Linked DNA regions of Notamacropus eugenii. The protein of the gene in region 3 interacts with the protein of the main gene of each other region in a pairwise test. Links are inferred from orthologs where the notes say so. Each region holds a gene or a part of one and is shown on either strand. Other genes may lie near its edges.

What was found.
Region 1: the proteins of TOX4 (region 3) and ZMYND19 interact in binary tests that used the Homo sapiens proteins (3 or more experiments, as listed by UniProt). The two-hybrid records come from large-scale screens. The link is inferred for Notamacropus eugenii from reciprocal best matches to the Homo sapiens genes TOX4 and ZMYND19.
Region 2: the proteins of TOX4 (region 3) and FNDC3B interact in binary tests that used the Homo sapiens proteins (3 or more experiments, as listed by UniProt). The two-hybrid records come from large-scale screens. The link is inferred for Notamacropus eugenii from reciprocal best matches to the Homo sapiens genes TOX4 and FNDC3B.

What each region holds. Positions count from the first base shown.
Region 1 is NC_092872.1:494,372,058-494,375,801, reverse strand, and holds the start of ZMYND19 (zinc finger MYND domain-containing protein 19), read right to left. Parts: upstream 2,744-3,744; 5' UTR 2,558-2,743; coding exon 2,507-2,557; intron 743-2,506; coding exon 683-742; intron 201-682; coding exon 94-200; intron 1-93. UniProt on the Homo sapiens protein: May be involved as a regulatory molecule in GPR24/MCH-R1 signaling.
Region 2 is NC_092877.1:352,137,701-352,141,444, reverse strand, and holds the start of FNDC3B (fibronectin type III domain-containing protein 3B), read left to right. Parts: upstream 1-1,479; 5' UTR 1,480-1,669; intron 1,670-2,354; exon of another isoform or gene 2,355-2,501; intron 2,502-3,744. UniProt on the Homo sapiens protein: May be a positive regulator of adipogenesis.
Region 3 is NC_092878.1:12,453,283-12,457,026, forward strand, and holds the start of TOX4 (TOX high mobility group box family member 4), read right to left. Parts: upstream 2,715-3,744; 5' UTR 2,433-2,714; coding exon 2,427-2,432; intron 2,181-2,426; coding exon 2,112-2,180; intron 1-2,111. Other genes in the region: RAB2B (ras-related protein Rab-2B), read left to right, coding at 2,845-2,890, 3,172-3,243. UniProt on the Homo sapiens protein: Transcription factor that modulates cell fate reprogramming from the somatic state to the pluripotent and neuronal fate. In liver, controls the expression of hormone-regulated gluconeogenic genes such as G6PC1 and PCK1.

The DNA.
Region 1 (3,744 bases), on a different chromosome or scaffold from region 3:
CTAAGGAGACTGGATGGATAAGTGGCAGACTCTACAAACTCTAGCCACACCCCAAATAAAAGACGGAAATATTGATCTCTACACAATACCCACCACAACAACTCATGAAGTAAACGTCCAGATCCCCTTCCTCGATTTTTGTCAAAAGCATAAGCAAAAATTTTAGCACCATTTCCATCAGCATCTACTTCCATTCGGGCCTGGGATAGGACAAGGAAAATACTTAAAATCATCCATCTTGCAACAACACTTCAAAATCAAACTGGTGGAAAAAAGAAATAAAACCATTGAAAATGTTAGCTTAATCCCTAGTATTCTGGGAAAAAAACCATCTGGTCCTCATGGACGTCAGTGGTACAGGGGATAACAAAAACTGGACCCAAATCATCTGCTCCTAAAAACATGGCCATGAAAGAAGAAACCAAAGTTTCTGATACAAATTCTAATTTGAATATAGGATATAGTATAGTTCTACTTGTCAGGGACTACCAAAATTGATCAAAATTAGCTGACTTAGTCATCTCTGGTCTTGAAGTGATTCAGAACTAGCGTTAGTTATTCATCTAGAGGAATCTCATTCCCAGAGTACGAGCAGGAAGAAAGAATATTAAAATGTATTCATAATTTCTCTAGGTTCTTAATGTCCAACCACAACCCAACCCCAGGAACAGACCATTCTCACCTCAAAAGAGTAACTCTCCACCAGTGGGATGTCTTGTTCATCTATCAGCGTGTACTTTGTCTGAAAATTAACCAGACATTGTAAAGAATTACATTTATCATGAACAAAGCTAGGTTAAGACCAACAGTGAAATAATTGCAATAGGAAGTTATGAATCACATTTAAACTCTGAAGTTAGATGGTAACTAAATGTTATTTTAATCACCTTGACTCACCTGCCCTCAATTAGATGAGTAAATAACAAGGGGAGGTAATAATAGTAAGTAAAGGAATTCACTACGGTACTAAATGTTTTGCATAGCACAGGCCAAAAATCAGCACTGTCATCAGACTAAATATAAATGTCTTGGAATGATAGTTATCAGAATCTTCCTCTTCTGCATCAAAAAGATTAACTTAAGTAGAAAAATTTATCAAGACAAATAAACTTCCCATTAAATTTCTTCATGTGTACAGACCTCCAGCCTTCATGTAAATGAAATGGCTTTACTCCCAATTGCCGCCGATGCTTAAGGGGCCTGTCCCCTACTCTACTTGCCTCTCTCATCTATCAAGAGCTAGCCACAAGAGAACCAACCAGGAAGCCACCAGCAAGGCTTTCCTGGACCAGACTTTTTCACCAGACCAGGCAGTCAACAACTAGAACGTGCTGGTGGCACCAGGGAGCAAAAATGTTCACAGGTACCACTGGTGGTTTAATCCATACACAAAATATGTAAAAGGAAGAGGAACAAAACAGAGTGAGAAATCAGGTGAAGAAAACAAGGAGAAAGCAAGAAGAGTAGATAAGAGGTGAGGGGAGGCCTGTTTTTACATGACATTTTACTCACCCTAAAGCACGTACTCTAGAAATGCTAGCTATGAAGAAGATGATGATGGTAAAGTGCCACCTACATCTGGCTCAGGTGCTGCTCCATGGCACTAATTCCCCAGGCTCCCCCTACTGTTCTAGGCCAGTGTGACACAACAGTGTAACTAGTTGCTCACTGGCTTCCCCAGGCAAACTCCTTAGTTCAATCCAGTGACCTTAGCACAGGTAGAAAAAAAATGCACTTATCCTCCTAGTGGGCTTCGCTCGGGCAGCGAAAGGTCACGGGGATCATTCCACAGAACCAGCCAGGAAACCCTGGAACCTGGCACACAACACCTTTTTCCTTTCTTTCAACAAAACAAGCCTTCAAGGAGGCTTGTGCGAGCCAGGCACCCCAGAAGCATTCGGGATCGCGGGAGTTAGACCGCACCTACCCCAAGAAGCAAGCAGCACCAGAGCCGGGGCGCCCCCAGACCCTTCACACCTAAACACCCCTCCAGACTTATGCTGCTGTATCCCACGGAGCCCGGGAACCTGGACGTTCCTCGAAACTTCAGCCGCCCCGGACTGGCCCTCCGCTGGACCACAGACCTCAGCGCTCACGCCAAGAGCCGGAGCGCCCGGGGGTGGGGGGAGTGGAGCAGACAGCCTGACACCTGACACCCCGGTGAGGCTGGAGGACTCGGGCTGCCAGGGTCGGGTGGCCGGGGGTGGGGGGGGCATCCCCGCCGCCCTGGGGCCTCGCTGGAAGTCGGGGGGCTGAGGCCTGGCCAGGATACACAAGCGGCTCCGTACCGGGGGGAGGGAGGAACACCCTGGCGGCGGCCACTCCCGGGCCGTGGGTGGGCGGGCCCCGCGGGGATCAGCAGCCTCGGAGCTCTGGAGCGCGGCCTCGGCTGCTGGACTTCCCCGGCTCGGGGCCCCCCGTGAGAGGCCTCCGTCTCTCTGCGGGCCCTCATGGCGACCGCGGCCTCCGCCCGCTCCGTTCGCCCTCCCAGCCCCGGGCCGCTCACCTTCCCGGCCACTCGGCCGAGCCGCACGATGCCCAGCTTGAAGTCGGTCATGGCCAGGGCCTCCCGCTCGTAGCCGCCACCACCCGCGATCCCTCTCTCCCTCAGGCCGGGGCCGAGGCCGAGGCTAAGGCCCTGGCCGTCGCAGCCGCCGCCGCCGCCACCGCTTCCTCCCGCCCGCCGGCCGGGGCCTGCCACGCGCCGCCACCGCCGCCGCCGCCGCCGCCACAGCCGCCTCGCGCACACAGCCAGGGGAGGGGCGGGGCCGCGCCGCGCGCCGCGCCGCGCCGGACACACCCCCCTCAGCCCTCTGCACTCGGACCAATCAAGAGCCGCACCGCCCGCCGGACTCTACGGACCAATAGGAATATAGGGAGTGCGCCGGTCCACTAAGGGGGAGGGGAAAGGAGGAGGGGAGACCGGAGTCAGCGGAGGACCAAAGGAAGGGGAAAGGGGAGAAAGAAGTGGGGGGGAGGAGCTTCCCGCGCGCGCGCTCCGTTCTGACGTAGTTTTCGCGGGAAGCTTTGTGCTTCGAACCCAGCCGAGAATCTCCATAGGGGTGGAATGGGGCGGAGCAGTGTGGGTGCCCTTAAAGGGGCCGCAGAGTCCCCGAGACATCGAGTCTGGAGTTCGGTCCATGTGGTCTCTCGGGCCGCAGGCACGCTTGCTTGGTCCTCCCTGTCCGGGAGGGTCTGAGTTATACATCTCAGAGCACCCTGGGCGTTCAAGGCCCTCTAGCCCCCCGCCTCATTTTACTTCGAGGGGAGCTAGCCCAGAAGGGGGAGTGCCGGGTCTTAGAGATTCATCGGGACGCCACCCGAGGCTGAGAGCCGGGTCTCCCGGCTCGCGGGAGCCTTTGGCCTCCCTCGTCCCCCGGCCTCCGGTTCCTTTTGCACCGCTCCCTCTGCAGGCCCCCGGCCGTGGTTGAAGCCTGCGGCTTCTCTCAAGCTCCTGCCCTTCCTTCCCCGCCCAGCCCAGGCCTAGCTAGCCCCAAAAGAGGAGGAGGCAGGGGACTTGGGACTGAAAACTATTTCCCTTCACTGGAAAACAACACTTCTTTGTTAGAACGCTGACACTAAATTCGTTTAAAGGCAGTTGTTTCCCCGCGTTTAGTCCTTCCTAACAGCTGGCATTTATGGGGTGCTGACTATGTGCCAGGCGCCTTGCCAAACATTTTACAGTCACTGTCTGGTCTGATCCTCCGTACAGCCCTGGGAGGTAGGTACTGTTCTTATCTCCAT
Region 2 (3,744 bases), on a different chromosome or scaffold from region 3:
CAATAATCATTCACTCAATCTATATTAAGTAAGGGCCCACTAGGGGCCAATGCCTTTTTGTGACCCTCCTTGTGAGCCCTTTTCAGAATGTAGTATTCCATGTTTCTTGGTCCCAGAGTATGACCTGGTGAATATTGTTAAAAACATGGGCTCATATTTCAAGGAAAAATTTGTCCCAATGAAAAGCAATACACTTTTTCTAAAGGCTTCTTCATGCTTAATTCTTAGCCTAGTTCACTGTCTATCCTCAGTGTATTGATGGACCCACTGTTGAGGTTCTCCATCTCAACTGTAGGTGATAATATGGACGACTAGATAATAATTATAGTTAATATTTCTATAGCCCTTAATGTTTACAAGGTGCTTTACATATAGTATTGCCCTTGATCTTCCCAATCTTTTGAGTTAAGTGCTCTTATGGTCTCTTAAGAGATTGGGAAACTGAGGCAGAGGGAGATTAAGTGACTTGCCCAGGGTCACACACCTAGGAAGTGTCTGAGGTTAGATTTCAATAATAACAACCTCTCTGCTTGTTCCTCACTCTCATGTCATCTCAACCCCTTAGAATTCCAAGTTTCCAGCTTCAAGGATACTTCCTACAGATCTTTTCTGCTCCTTCACCCCCTCCAGCTGCTAGTGTTTCTCCAGAAAAATTATCCAGTATTTATTTGATATATATTTTGCATGCACTTTTTAATGTGGTGGCTCCATTCAATTCAATTTACATTTATTAAGCACCTACTATGTGCCAGGAATCTTGCTAAGCTCTGGGGATACAAAAGAGGCTGTCCCCAGAATATAAATTTCACTTTGTAACCCTAGCTTTGCCGACAATCAATAAGCATTTATTAGGCACTTATTTTGTGTACATCCACAGTGCTCGGCACATAGTAGGTCCATGATAAGCGTAATAAATTCAAATGGATAGCTTGATTCTGCCGTACTCATAGTCACTACTTTTAAGACCTTTGCGCGGCTTTATATATTTCCTGGCGCGTTTATTTCTTGGGTGTACAAAGTGTTACTTCTCCCTCAAGCAGACTGGAAGCTCTCTGAGGGTACAGACTCTCATTGTGCTTTGGTCCCGCCCCTAGGAATCCTCGCAAACTGCAGAGAAGAGGCAGCCGGGGGCCTTTCTCGAGTCCCCAGGCCCCGAGGGTGCTGTGGAAGCGTCCTGGGCCGGGGCACGCCCGCCTCTCCCTCGGCCCCGGGGCCGCCCTGGGCCTGCGAACGCGCATTTGTGCGGGTGGCGCTACTCGGCACTCTACGGTATGTGGGCTGGCCCCAAATCCCCATGTGGTCCCGACATCATTGACATGGCGGAATCCTCCCCCCAAAGCTGCTGCTAGTTATTTTAGCGGCGGCGGCTGGAGGAGGAGGAGGAGGAGGAGGAGGAGGAGGAGGAGAAGGAGGAGGAGGAGGAGGAGGAGGAGGAGGAGGAGGAGGGGGAGGAGGAGGGAGGAGCAGCGGAGGCGGCGGCGGCGGCGGCGGCGGCGGCAGGACGGATTTATCGGGCTGCCTGGCTGGAAGGGAGGGAAGGCAGGCCGGCCGGCAGGCAGGCAGGCAGACAGGCAGGCAGGCAGGCAGGCAGGCAGGCAGGCAGGCAGGCAGAGGGCGACCCCGTCTCTTACGCGCCCCCGGCACCCACCCTGCTCCAGCCCTCGGGAAGGTAAGGAGCGGCCGCCGCAGCGGCCGGGAAGGGTGGGCGGGCGGGAGCCAAGGAGCAGCCCCAGAGCTCAGGCTGGCGGCGGGGTCCCGCGCCTGGCCGAGGCGTTGGAGGAGCGGGACTGCCCCGGAAAGCCCCGGAGCCGAGCCCAGTCCCGCTAGTTGGTTCCAGGGAACCCTTGGGGTTTCGGGGGGACGTCCTCCTTTCTGAGCAGGAAAACTTCAGGCTTAAGTGGCGAGGCTGCGCTGGAGGCGGAGAGGGGCTGGGGTGCCCCGAGCCTCCCGCCCTCCCCCTTTCCCACCCCACCCCCACTTTCCGGGCTGGGGGAAGCTGGTGGGGGGGATACACCCGGGAAAGGGGGGCTGGGGATGGAGATGGGCGCCTACCGAAGTGTGAAAAGTGTGGGGGGGGAAGCATTTAGTGCGAAGATTCCTTCCCCTTCCCCCAATCAGTGCTTTGCCAAAAAACATTTTTCCAAGAAAAAGAAAAACCGGCCAATTTTAATTTCTTCTACGTTGTGCCTGCTCCCTGCTCCCTGCTCCAGCGCCCTGGCACCTCTGTCCCCCGCCCCTGGGTCCCCTGTCTCTGAGATCCCCCGCCCCCCATCTCGGTGTTAGGATCGTTGCCTGAAGGGGAGGGGAAAAGAGGGGAGGGGGTGCGGGGGGGGGTGGTGGAGGGAAGAAGGCTGCAGCGGAATCTTCGACGTGTCACTTTCCATATGGTGTGAGGGTTCAGCCCAGACCCATGAAAGAGCGCAAAGTGTTGCTGAAGTTTGGACGACTTTTGTGTGTGCGCCGGGGGGCGGGAGGGGCCCTCGGCGGGGCGGGCTCGGGAGGTGAGGATGCCTCTTTATTTTCTCCCCCTTTCTCTCCCCCCCCCCGTTCCTCCCTTTGCCGGGCTTTGTAGCCGGGGTGGGCTTTGGGTGCCGGGGCGCTGGGGGTTCCATGGCTACGGGCGTGGGAGGAGGGCCTGAGCGCTACAAAGTAGCCGTTTGCGGGACAGGAGGCTACAAAGTAGCAGTTTTTCGAACCTTCGCCGCTCGCCGAGCCCGGGAATCCCGGGAGACTCCTGGGGCGCAGCGGGACTCCCGGGCTCGGGTCTCCGGGTCAGGGCCCTGACATTTACTTACAATGCTCCCCCGCTCCTTCCACCCCTCCTCCCCCCTGGTCCCCCCTCCCCCCGCCAAATCCTTTCCTCCATATCTTCATTTCCCCGCTTTCTGGGTGTCCTCCTTGCGTCCCTGGGCTGCTTTTGGAAAGCCGTCGGCACTGTAGGGGTTGTTCCCAACTTGTAGAGTTGGGAAAGGGGTGAACGGTCAGAGGACCCTCCCGCCTCCCTCCAGCTCCCTTCCTTTCGCCTTCGGCCCCCAGTTGGGGGAGCTCAATCTGGTTGGGGAGGGAGGAGGAAGAGAATCTGTGCCCTGAGGCAGGAGCGCTGAGAGCTGGGGAAGAAGGAGGGAGGGACGCGGAGGCTCCTAGGGGCCCAGAAAGCTGGAGCCTAGGCTCGGGTCGCGGGTCCTGGCTGGGGGCTGCACTCACTCTTCGGCCCGAGGTGTTGGGCCTGGGCCTGGGGCTGGGGGAGAAGCACCGGGCACTGTAGAGAGTGGGATCGGGGGGCTGAGGATGAGGATGGTGCGGGAAGGGTCTGTCACTCCAGTGCAAAAAAATGGGGGGAAAAAGCCGGAGGCGTTTTGTGGCTCCAGCGGAGGCCCGAGCTCTCCGCGTAAACTTTTCCAAAATGTCTGGATACGGGGGGGAGAAGGAGACTGGGGACCGAGCCAAGGCAACTTTTCTACCCAGATGAGTTTGTGCCTCATGGAAAAGGGGTCTGAACCTTGGTTTGCAAGATATCGCCCAGTTGGAACACTTGTTGAGCTGGGCTGGACTCGGGCAGTAGAGATGGGGGGATGGGGATTTTTTCTTTGGAGTAAGACTTTGTCTTAAGCCCTCGCTCTGCCATCCCAGACGAAAAGAAAGAAATGGCATTTTACCAAGACATATTACGGTTTGCGGACTCTTTTAAAAGTTAACCACCCTTCCCCCCCCCCCCCCCCAGTGTTTTTCTTTAAATCGCATTTG
Region 3 (3,744 bases):
TGACAGCCACTGTACCACCTAGCTGCCTCTAGAGGGGTCAAAAAACTGTAGAATGGCCCTAAATCTACAACATTCTTTATATAACATTATAATAATAGCTAACATTTATTTCTATAGCACTTTCCAGCTTTCCAAGCACTTGATTATAAATAAGAAGGGAACCACATATATTTGTTAGAATGAAGTTCCTTGAGGGCAGGGACAATTTTCTTTTAGTATATATCTCTAGTACTTAGTATAGTGACTGATACATGGTAGTATAATGGTTAGACTTAATTATATCAAATGAACAGACTCTGACTTGGAGTCAAAGAAGATCTAAGTTCAAATCCTGACTCAGTCGCTTAACAAGTCACTCAACCTCTCTCTACCAAAGTTTCTTAATCTATAACATGGAGATAATAGCCATCTACCTCACAGGATCATTGTGAAGATTAAATCACAATATACTTAAAGTGCTTTGCAAACTTTAAAGCATCCTAGTAATGTTCATCATCATTAGTAGTAGCGGTACTTGTTTATTGATTATTGACAGACAGATGTGATTCTTGATTATCCAAGAAAATAGAAGGAACAGAATCTAAAATAGCGAATAATCTAAGTCATTTATATCTGGGGTTAGAATGCCACTTTTGTAACCCCATTTAATAAATACTAGCCACATAATCATGGACAAGTCACTTAACCTTTTAATGTCCAAGGATGGGTTGCCTATCTGTATCAATGGAAGGAAGGTCCAAATCAGGAGCTTCTACACAGATGAACTCAAAACTCTGGACAAATTAGGGCTCCTCCATCTAGTATCCTACTTTGAAGTCTCACTGTAGAATGGGGGTGATCTTGGCTTTAAAAGGAACAAGTTCCAAATGGTCTCACTAAAAATGCAAAGAGTTTGACTTGTCTAAGGACCAATCCAGCTAATATAAAATAGTCTCATACTCACCAGATGATTGGCCAATAGATGATTAATTTTTTTAGCCACAGTAATTCAGTAAGCCATGTACTAAGCAATAGAGAGCTTATGGGCCACATGGTTGGCACATTCCCATAAATAAAATTATGGGATTTCGAAGTATTGCAGTATCTAAATACGGATGAGGATAATACTCTGGAGTTCACAACATTCCAAACAATTTAATGACGCTAAAAGCATGAGTCAAGGAGAAGCTGAAGATGAGAAAACACATTGGAATTCACAAAGAACCAATCTAAACGTGTTAAAGGTCTGGTTTTTGGCTTCCCTGAAGCCAGAAGAATCGGTCATTTAGCATCATGATCTTAAAAGGTCTTCCATTTAGGCTGGGTAGCTAAGGCTGAAGATTTATAGGGAATCTCAGTAGAAACAGAAGTCAATAGAAGAGCTGAAATCTAACAAGCAGCTGCCCAGTTTCCCAACCTAACGCTAAGGCTAAGAGTTAAAAGAAGCAACTGCAGATAAGCAGAATAACTCATTCATTGATAGCAAACTCAGCAGAACAGGTAGGATGGCCTGGGATGTTTGCTGCATTAAAAAAAAGACTGGGTCTTCCATTAAAAATAGTAAAAAATAAAAAAACCCAAGAAAGGCTTTCTGTCTTCTGAGATACCCAAGTCTGCTTCCCAAGATAGTGGCAGGAGCACGTGATCCACGATTCAAGTTAAGAACCTTAAGACTCTTCACAGCCATCCCTTCTGCTTCACAAAATACACTCTCATCACCTGGAGGGAAAGGCAGTGCGCCCCAGCACAAACGGACCGGCTCTGAACAGGCCCTTCAGGCTTGTATGGACGTGGAGACTAAACCACGCTGCTTCTTACAGTCACAACACCCTCCCCCCACAAAACCAAGCCAGGTCCAGCCGCTCCGACTACACTTTCCACCTCAGCTCTTCCACAAAACCTCCACCCTGAGGCTGCGTCGTCCGGTGGCTCCAACTGCCTCCCGCAAAACCTCTCGGGCCTCTCTCACTTCTTCCTTCCACTCGAGACCCTCCTGCGGCCTTTCCTCCTCCTCGGCCCGCCCTTCTAGGCTGCGCTGGGCTGTCCGAGAGCGCTTCCCCAGCCCCGGGTCCCCCCCGCCGCCCCCAAGGGCCTGGCGCCCTTCCACCCGCGTTGGCAACAATCTTGCTCACCTCGGCCCCCGACAGGAAGGGGTGCGAGGACCCTGTGATCGTCAGGTAATTGTCATTTCCTCCGGGAAACTGGAAACCAAAAGAAACCCGCGGGGATGTTAGGGGTGGGGGGGGCCGGGGAGTCAGGCTGGAGCGACGGGTTCTGACTCTGCCCCGACCCCCGCCGCCGCCTCCCCCGCTCCTCTCGCCCGTCGGCCGCTTCTCCGCCCAGGCCCCTTCCTCTGCTCCTCTCCCTCTCGCCTCTTTTCTTTCTTTCTTTCTCTCTCTCTCTCTCTCTCTCTCTCCCTCCCGCCTCCTTCGGGCTCAGGATCCTACCTCCATCTTCAACACAACCGCTACCACCGCTTCAGCTCCCTCATAGCGCCCACCGCCCCCGCCGGAAACGGAACACGCGTCACTTCCGCCGACACTCGCGGCTCCCTCCGAGGATTGGAGGATTCTTTGGCAGAAGCGGTGAGTTTGCAGCAGGGAGGCGACTGAGCGGAAATGAGGAGCTGGGCAGCGCCCCCTTCGGCCGGAGGCCAGAATGCCCGCTGGAGGCTCAGAGGCTTCGAGGGAGGAAGTGTCAAGTTACAGCCACACATGACGACTGAACTGCTCCTGAGGAGAGCACTAGAGACGTGATCTCGGGCTAGAGGGACCGGATGGGGAAGTAGAGATATCGCTAGGTCGCGTGGCTAGAGAGGCCGGAGGTGGGTGGCCAGAGAAGTCGGGAGGACCAGCGGTCGGGACCATGACTTACGCTTATCTCTTCAAGTACATCATCATCGGGGACACAGGTACTCGGCCAGCGGGGCCATCCGCTAAACTGAGACTGGGCTCGCAAGCCCAAGGTGGCACCAGGGGAGGGCGGGGCTCGTTGGGGAGGCGGGGCCACCCGGAGGGGCGCTGTCGGGGGCGGGGCCAGGATGGGGGCGGGGCGGGGCGGGGCTGAAGGAGCTCTGGCCCCTTTGCGACACGGGGGGAGCCGACGCCAGCCACACCTGGTGCCTTCCTCTGGGCTGCCCTGCCCACCTCCTCTCTCGGGAGGATGGACCTGAGTCCCCACGTCCTCTTTCAGGTGTGGGCAAGTCATGTCTCCTTCTGCAGTTTACAGACAAGCGGTTCCAGCCTGTCCACGACCTCACCATAGGTAAGGACTTTGTGCCACCCTAAGGAAAGTGGGTGAGAAGTGTGAAGTTAAAAGTTAGCAGCCATGGGCTTCCACTTTTAAGTAGCCAAAAGTTGTGTTAATAAATGGAGAGAAAATGGCGAAGGCAGATTCGTCTCATGGAAAGAGCATGAATTGGGGGTAAATAGATTTGACTAGCTTAGGAAAGTCATTTCATGTCTCTAGAGCTCAGGGTCTCCCTCCATAAAATCAGAGCAGTAACTAAGAGCCCTTCCAGCTTTGAATTCTGTGAGTCTGTGAAAGAGTGCTGTCAAGTGATTGTCAAGTTGGAGACAATAAAAATAACTGACAAAGAAACCAAAGAGTAGCTGCAGTCTGGGTGACCTCGGGCAGCTTGCTTCTCCGTAAGCTTCAGTATCCTCATCTGTAAAATAAAAGGAGTATCCTTCCAGCTTTAATATGTTGTAACGACAAGAGAAAAATTGATTGGTTGGTTTGTGAGTTGTGAAAGAGCTTAGTGAA